Struthio camelus: one gene and its partner. The protein of the gene in region 1 interacts with the protein of each later gene in a biochemical or structural test. Links are inferred from orthologs where the notes say so. Each region holds a gene or a part of one and is shown on either strand. Other genes may lie near its edges.

The links.
Region 2: the proteins of GLG1 (region 1) and SELE form a complex in vitro, tested with the Homo sapiens proteins (2 studies listed by BioGRID and IntAct). The link is inferred for Struthio camelus from reciprocal best matches to the Homo sapiens genes GLG1 and SELE.

The regions. Positions count from the first base shown.
Region 1 is NC_090951.1:22,466,752-22,470,501, forward strand, and holds the start of GLG1 (Golgi apparatus protein 1), read left to right. Parts: upstream 1-915; 5' UTR 916-931; coding exon 932-1,258; intron 1,259-3,750. UniProt on the Homo sapiens protein: Binds fibroblast growth factor and E-selectin (cell-adhesion lectin on endothelial cells mediating the binding of neutrophils).
Region 2 is NC_090949.1:8,132,788-8,136,537, forward strand, and holds the start of SELE (E-selectin), read right to left. Parts: upstream 2,542-3,750; 5' UTR 2,414-2,541; intron 2,145-2,413; 5' UTR 2,106-2,144; coding exon 2,069-2,105; intron 1,650-2,068; coding exon 1,263-1,649; intron 431-1,262; coding exon 323-430; intron 186-322; coding exon 1-185. UniProt on the Homo sapiens protein: Cell-surface glycoprotein having a role in immunoadhesion. Mediates in the adhesion of blood neutrophils in cytokine-activated endothelium through interaction with SELPLG/PSGL1. May have a role in capillary morphogenesis.

The DNA.
Region 1 (3,750 bases):
GGAGAGCGCCTTCGGGAAGGAAAACAGCCAGGCGCCACGTCTTGATCATTCGGTTTCCCCGCAGCGAGGGAGATCGCTGCCCTCACGGCACGGGAGGTGAGGGAGTTGTGGCAGGGCCGCCGGCCCCAAATCCGCCCTGGCCTCCCCGAGCGACTTGGGCGGCGCTGAGCTCCCTGCCCTCCGGGCCCGGCCACGACAGAAGCGGAGGCGAGGAGCTGCCGCCGGGCCGAGCGCGCCGCGCCGGGTGCGCAGGCCTTCACGCCGCCCCGCTCGCCCTCGCGAGGTTGGCTGGGCCGAACCGATCCCGGCGCGCCGGCACCCGCCGCGGCAGGCACCCTCGCCTCGGCGCCGGCGCGACACGCCTGGCCGGCGGCTCCCAGGGCCGCGTGCGGCCCGCCGGGCGCCTCGGGGCCGCCGCCGCGCCGGCTCGCGAGGGCGGTCGCGGGGGGTTTTGGCGCGCGACGCGCCCGCGTGAAGGCGCCCCGGGCTCGGGTGCGGCGGGGGGCCGCGAGGAGGCGAGGGTGGCGCTGGTGCCGGCCCGGCCGGGCGCAGCAGGGGCGGCGGGTGCTGGCTCCGGCCAGGCCGGGGCAGCGGGGGGGAGGGGGGCGAGCGGAGTCACCCCGGCTCGTGCCGAGACACGGCTTTGGCACGAGCAGCAGGGAGGGGCCGGTGAAAAAGGGGGGTTGTGCCCTAAAACTGCAGCCGACGAGGCCGGGCACGAAGAGCGCCGCAGAGCAGCGCGCCAGGCTGCGCCCCGCAGCGGGGCCTGCGCGGCCGTTGCCGGCCGGGCGCCCGAGACCGCCCGGGCGGTTGGGCGGCGGAGCGGGGGGCGGGGCGCGGGAAGCCCCCGCCCCCTTGGGGGTGGAGCTAAATTTACATACGCCGTGCGTGCGGCGGGGCGGGCGGCCGCGCCGGGGGTGGCGGATCCAAGATGGCGCCGTGCGGACGTGTCCGGAGCCGCTGGCCGGGCCCGGCGCTCCTCCTGCTCGTGGCGCTGGCGGCGCGGCCGGCGGCCGGCGGCCCTCAGCCCGCGGGGCCCGCGGCGGCGCTGGCCTTTGTCCCGCCGCAGGGACAGGCGGCGGCGGGCGGCGGCCCCGCGGCGGCGGGCGGGCGGGGGTCCCGCGGCGGCGGCGGCTCGGGCGGCGGGTGGAAGCTGTCGGAGGAGGCGGTGTGCCGCGAGGACGTGGTGCGGCTCTGCTCCAAGCACAGCTGGGCCAACAACCTGGCCGTGCTCGAGTGCCTGCAGGACGTGCGCGAGGTGAGCGGCCGCGCCGGGCCTAGCCGCGGCCGCCCCGGCCGGGCACGGCGCCGCGAACAAAGAGCCGCCGGGCCGGGGAGGGCAGCGCCGCCGGGGCGGCGAGCTCGGGGCCGGCGCTGGGCCAGCGGCGCTTCTCGGAGCCGAGCCGGCGCGGGCCCGAGGCTGCCGCTGTGGAAGGAGGCGCCGGGCCGGGCCGGGCCGCCGTTGCTTGTGGCCCCCAAAGGGGCTGTTGGCCGCCGCGGTTCCGAGGGGGCCAGGCCCGGGCCGCCGCCGCTGCCCTGTGGTCGTGCTCGCACGCGCCTGCTCGTCTGTGTGTGTGTGTGTGGGGGGCTTCTCGCACCTCTCTGTACCCTTGGGCTGGGGTCCTGGCGGCTCCCTCCTTCGCAAACCTGTCCCTCCCACAAGGAAGGAAAGAGTTGTAGTGCAATGGCTTCACCCCCCCCCCCCCACCCCACACTTTGATACCTCACAGGTTTATTCAGCTTTCAGAGATCTTGGGAGAGTTTGGCAAGAGGATCTTTTACAAAGATCACGCGCTGCCCACTTAATGCCGAGGAGAGGTATCTTATTGATAGCAGTGGCGACTTGAGAATACTTTTTCAGCGTTAGTTTCCCACCTTCGCGTAGAGGAGAGTCCAGCTGCAGAGGTGACTGCCTTCTGCTGCCGTTGTGTGTTTGTGGATGTATGAAATTAGATATCCGAGCTTTAGGCCTGGATTAGTTTTTGCAGGGAGATTGACTGGGGCATCTCTTTTGTTACTAAATATCTGTCATGAATGATTTAGATGTAGTTCAAGAAAGAATTAGTTGTCTTCTCTGAGTCTTTTCTAGCCCCATCTTCTGACTGATAGTTCTTCCCCAGATCGAAGAAGCTTTTGGAGGAGCTGCCTTTGAGCTAAGGAGAAAGGAAGATTCAGTGCTGCGTCTGTTTGGTTCTTGGCTTCTCTGCTGTGAAGTCCAGGAATGTCAGGCTGCGTCAGTTCTAATGGTGTTTTATCAAGTGGAAACGTATTCGGGAAAAACCTGTGCTCATTTCTCATCAGTTATTGCAGAGACAGCAGATGGCAGTGACTTAATGGTTGCGCTCATCAAGGGGAGTCTTGAACTAATATGTCAGTGATTAATTCCTGACTTAAAGAACTTAGATTTTTATCTAACTTCACATTTTCATTGTGGACAGATATTTTAATAAGAGTCATGGCAGACTCATTAAATGAGACCTGATGCAACACTTATCGCAGTTCTGAAATGTTCTGGTATTTGCTTATTAGTAACTTGTCCCTTATTGTTTCTTCTGCTTGCTGCTGCCTGGAAAAGACCCTCTGGATTCCCTGTCAGGGAGGCACTGCCTCTGAGATAATCTCAGAAACTGTACTTTCAGGAGGTGCAGTGAGCTAGCAGCCTGCCACCAAAAGGACAAGGTCTTGTTGTTTGTGTGTGTTTTTTTTTTTCTTCCCCTTCCCAGTTGTGTGGCCACTCCTCTCTCTATTCATAGTTCAAGTACTTCTTGGTTATCAGCCATTTTAGTGAAGTAGACCTTTTTCTGGTCTAGCTTATCAGCTCTCTGCTGGGATAGTTTTGTTGTTTTAGTGAGTTGTATGCACTCCCGGAGGAGCATGAGTGCAGGAGCTAGTGCAAAAGAGTGTGCAGAAGGAAGCAGAAGATGAAGGGAGGTCTTGCATCACATTTTTCAGCGGATGCAAGCCCGTATGTTGGCTCTGCATAGTCTGGTGAAACTCCACTTTCTCTTTTAAATCTCATGTTGGCTTATGGTTTTCGTTTTTCAAGTTTCTTTCTCTTTCAAAGTTTGCCTGTATCTCAATGGTTTGCTTGTTGTTGATCTGATAGCCAGTGTGGAAGGTGAATCCTTCACTGGGGTGGTATCCCAGACAGCGGCAGGACATCCGGGGATTGTTTTGGATTGAGATTTCTCTCCTAAGGTGCCTGTTTGCAGCCACAAAAGACTCTTGTCCTTATTTGTCTTTCAGCCTGTAAAAAAAAATGTTGTCAGCTGGGCTTAGACTCAACAGTTAGCCTGCTGTAAAACTGTTCTGATGGGCTCTATCCTGGCATAAAAATAACTTCTGCAGAGTGCTACTCCGAGAAATGAATTGAAATAACTAACTTTTTTATATTGATATTGTTTAACTATGGGTACTTAAATTCTGAGTAAAAGTAATGAGTTGTCAACATTGGGTGGCACATAGTGTAAAGTGGAATGCATCTGTTATCTTCTCAGGCGTTTCCTTTGTGTTGGACGCAACACCTGAGGAAACGGTGATCTCTTTTTAGCTGTTATTATTGAAACAATTTTTAATTTTTACCCTAGGCCGTCTGACAGTATGTTTGGACAGTCCCAGAAAAATGATAGCTATGTTTGAAAACTGATGCCTGGCAAAAGGTGTGGGGGGGAACTAGTCTTTGCAAGTTCTATGAGCCCATATTAAAAAAAGTCAGAGTATAGTAAATAGCAACTTTCCAGAGTGTTTTCT
Region 2 (3,750 bases), on another chromosome or scaffold:
TTTGCACTCTGCAGGGGAGGCAGACCAGACTCCAGAAGAGGTACAGTGGACTGATTCCACTCCAGTCAGCTCATAGCCTTTTTCACACTGAACTGTGCAGGATGAGCTGTAGCTGAAGTTCTTCAGTGGATGGCTGCACTTCAGGCTGCCGTGATCAGGTTTCTTTAGTGTGTCACAAGTCTCAACTTCAAAGAAGCAGGAAATACAGTCAGAGTCAGTAGCTGAGCAGGTAAATTGACTAGTTAACACTAGTTTTTGACTAGTTGAACACTAGTTAATATGACCATCTCTCTGGCTGGAAGGAAGGATAGAGTAATCTTACCAAACTCGCATTCAGGCCCATAGAATCCAGGGTTACAGCGGCAGGTGTGATTGTTAATAGTCTCTATGCATTCTCCATGGCCACTGCAGAGAGATAGGTTGCAGGAAGCTGGGAAGGAAAAAAAAAAAAATCAGCAAGTTATAAATGAGTCCACAATGGTCACTAATGAAATTTGGTTAGCGATTCACTTATCTTTCTGGTGCTGAACAAGCACTTTGTATAGCAAAAAAAAAAAAAAAAAGCAGGACTCTTGGTACTTAACATTACCTCATCATTGCATGAAAGCATTTCAGAAATCAACTCATTTGACAGCCTAGCTAACAGTGAAAAGATTTAACTGGCTGGAAACTCCATGACCATTTGTGCTCAGGTAGATATTAGCAATATTTAAAATGCAAAAGGAACAATTGACTATAGTGTAGGTAGAAATCCTCAACAGGGACATTCTTTACCACCTCAACACAACTCTGATTTGCCAGATATTTGACTGCAGTTTTTTGATCTGCTGTAGCCACCTCCACATAAAGTGTCTAATCCATTCCAGTGGTCTACAGTCAACAGAGGGACAGATGCCTCCCAAAGGGCAATTCTTACCTCGCTGAGAAACCCACTGCAGACTAGCCAAGACACCTGCTGTGTCTCAATTATTTCAGGATAGGATGAAAAAAAACCGAAAGAGCCTGTTTCTCTCCACCAATTACACAAAGGTCTGGTGAGTTGCTTAGAAAAGATGTAAAATATTCTGAAGGCTATGAGATAGGTGAGATCAATCCAGCTCTTAAAACAACTAGCTTCAGCCCTGTGAGTATTCCACCCAGGGACTGTGTTTAAGGGTAAGTGTACAAGTGTCTGCAGGGTCAGGGAGTTACTATTTAAGACTAGGTTAATTAACCCCCCACTATCTCATCTCCACAGGGACTCGTTGGGATGGACATCATACCTGTATAGCACAAGGCGACCTTCTTTTTCTCACACTGTGCATCATTCCATTTGCCATCATCCTTCCCTCTTTTGATGTAGATTTCAACACAGTCTTCGTTGTTCCCCTGGCCATTTGGCTCACCTGAAGCCCAGTTTTCTGCCTCTTCTGTCAGTTCTTTGTTAGTTCCAACCCAGGTCCATGTCTCGTTAATTTTTCTGATTCCAATCCAGTAGTAACCCGGATTGAAGGGTAAGAAGTTATTGAGATAACTGATCTCCTCCTTATTCTGAATGGCAACCATGTTAGTATACTTGTCTTTGCACCACAGCTCTGCTTCATCATAGGTCATGTTTGTGTCTGAATAATGGTATGTCCAACAATTCACCTCCTCCAATATCGTAAATCCTGGAATGAGATGTCAAGCAGTTGGCACCTCCTTTTTTTCTTCTTTATAAGAGAATATATAAAGCCCTACAAATACTGCGTGCTTATCAATATCTGAACCTGCATAGGCAGTAGTTGCAATTATTTTATATACAATTAATTGGTGAGCTTCAGAACAGGCATGTCAGCATCAAGTATAGGACTTCAACCTGTAAAACTATACCTGATTAAAGTTCTATAGGCTCTGTAGTAAACCATATTAGCCACTAACATCTGACAGGTGAGCAGGTAAACATGCTATTGCAGTTAGTTTTTTCTATATGAATTTAGCCTCATGCTAAGTAGGCTGTGTTCAAAAATTCTGTTTAATTTGGAGCTCAGACAAAATAGCTACATTAACAATATCACCCAGCTAGTTTTCTAGAGAAATATACACTTACCGTAAGCAAGAAGAGATAGGAACCACAAACAAACCATGTTTCTGAGAAATTTCTCTTCTATCTTTTGTGCAGATAGCTATGAAAGACCAGAAAAAGGAACACATTTGCACACAACATAGACAGTATTTTATATTGAACTTCAAAAAAGCAGTATATGTTATCTGTTCTACAAACTTTTTTAACAAATCACTGAAGAACTAAATAAGATTTTCATTTGGAGGAAAAGAAACATTTAACACTGTTCTTAATGTCGAGACAGCTTTTAAGGTACATCAGGACAGAATTCTGTCCATTTTTCCCTTAGCTAAGCAACAAGATGGAATAAAACGCTCCCTTTATACTCACAGATTGTTGTTGGGATGGCCAGGTGCTATAGAAGTCTTCTAATATTTCTCAGTGTCTGCTTTCCTTTGCTAAGTTGCTGAATATGGTCTTGAAGATGAAGTTCAGCTTGAACTGTCTGGACTGTGTGTTCCTTTTGCCTTTACAGCAGCCTTTTATTCTCTCAGCGCAGCCTGCCCTCCATGAGGCAGGAAATTCCATGTGGAAAAAAAAATTTCTTGGAATATCCCTGGTTTTGACCCTCACACATTAAGCCTGACACTTCCCCTTCCCATATCAACCCTCCCACAGGGACAAACTGATCAAGTGCTGAATTCTACAGCTTTAGTGACAGAAGCACACAATTCCAGGATATCAGTGAAAAGCTTAGTTTAAGAGTTTGCTGTGCAAGTGAGTCGATTGTAACTTTTCTTAGTACAGATGGATGTGTTTTCTCTCGATTATAGGAAGCTCTTTGTGATTTGCAGCCACAATTTTTCTTTGTGGTAGTGAAGTTATACAAATTATTGCAGAGTAAAAAAGAAACACTCTCTACTGGCTTCCGTAGATGTTCAGATACCATATTGATGGCAAAAAACAAAAGAAACAGACATGACAGCTTCTTAAAAATACCATTTATCACTACCAGAACTGTAGAGGATTTTAAAGTGAATGTCTGAACTATGTAAAGCAAACTAGGGGGTTAATGTATATAATTCCCCTTACTTGATAAGAGAATTGAATATGTATATACCCTAAGAGGCCACAGAAATTTTGAATGCTCATTAAAGCTCTGAAATAAAAACAATATACATACTTCATCCAATTTTTTGTCCTTTTTGTACATTGTTCATAAGGCCAGATGGGAGGAGAATGCTATTTTGTTGAAAAACCACTAACCAAAAGTTTTCAAAGGAGTAAACCTACCACAGCAGATCTTTTCCTCAAAACTGTGACAAGGCATGGCACACTTTCTTTGAATTCAGCATAACAAGTATCCCGAGAAAGGAAATATATAAACTTTCTTCCCTAAGTGAGTTTTTAATGTTAAGATATGCCCGTCAATACCACTGACAGCTTGACAGCTAAAGCTATCAGCGCTCCACCTGAGTTGATAACGATAAAATATTTCAGCAGACCAAGTAACAACATGAAGCGGTTTTAAGGACTAATTTTTGCCTTAGTAGAAAAAGACAAAAATCTGTGAAGTACCCATAGCTTGATAAATCTCTGCCCATCCAAGGAATCCAAAGAAAAGAGGACCTAGCAAGAAGTATATTCTGAAGTAGCCCCAGTTACTATCAAGATAGGAGCGTTTTCTGTAAACTTCAAGGTAAGGCATCGGAAAGTATGCCAAAGTC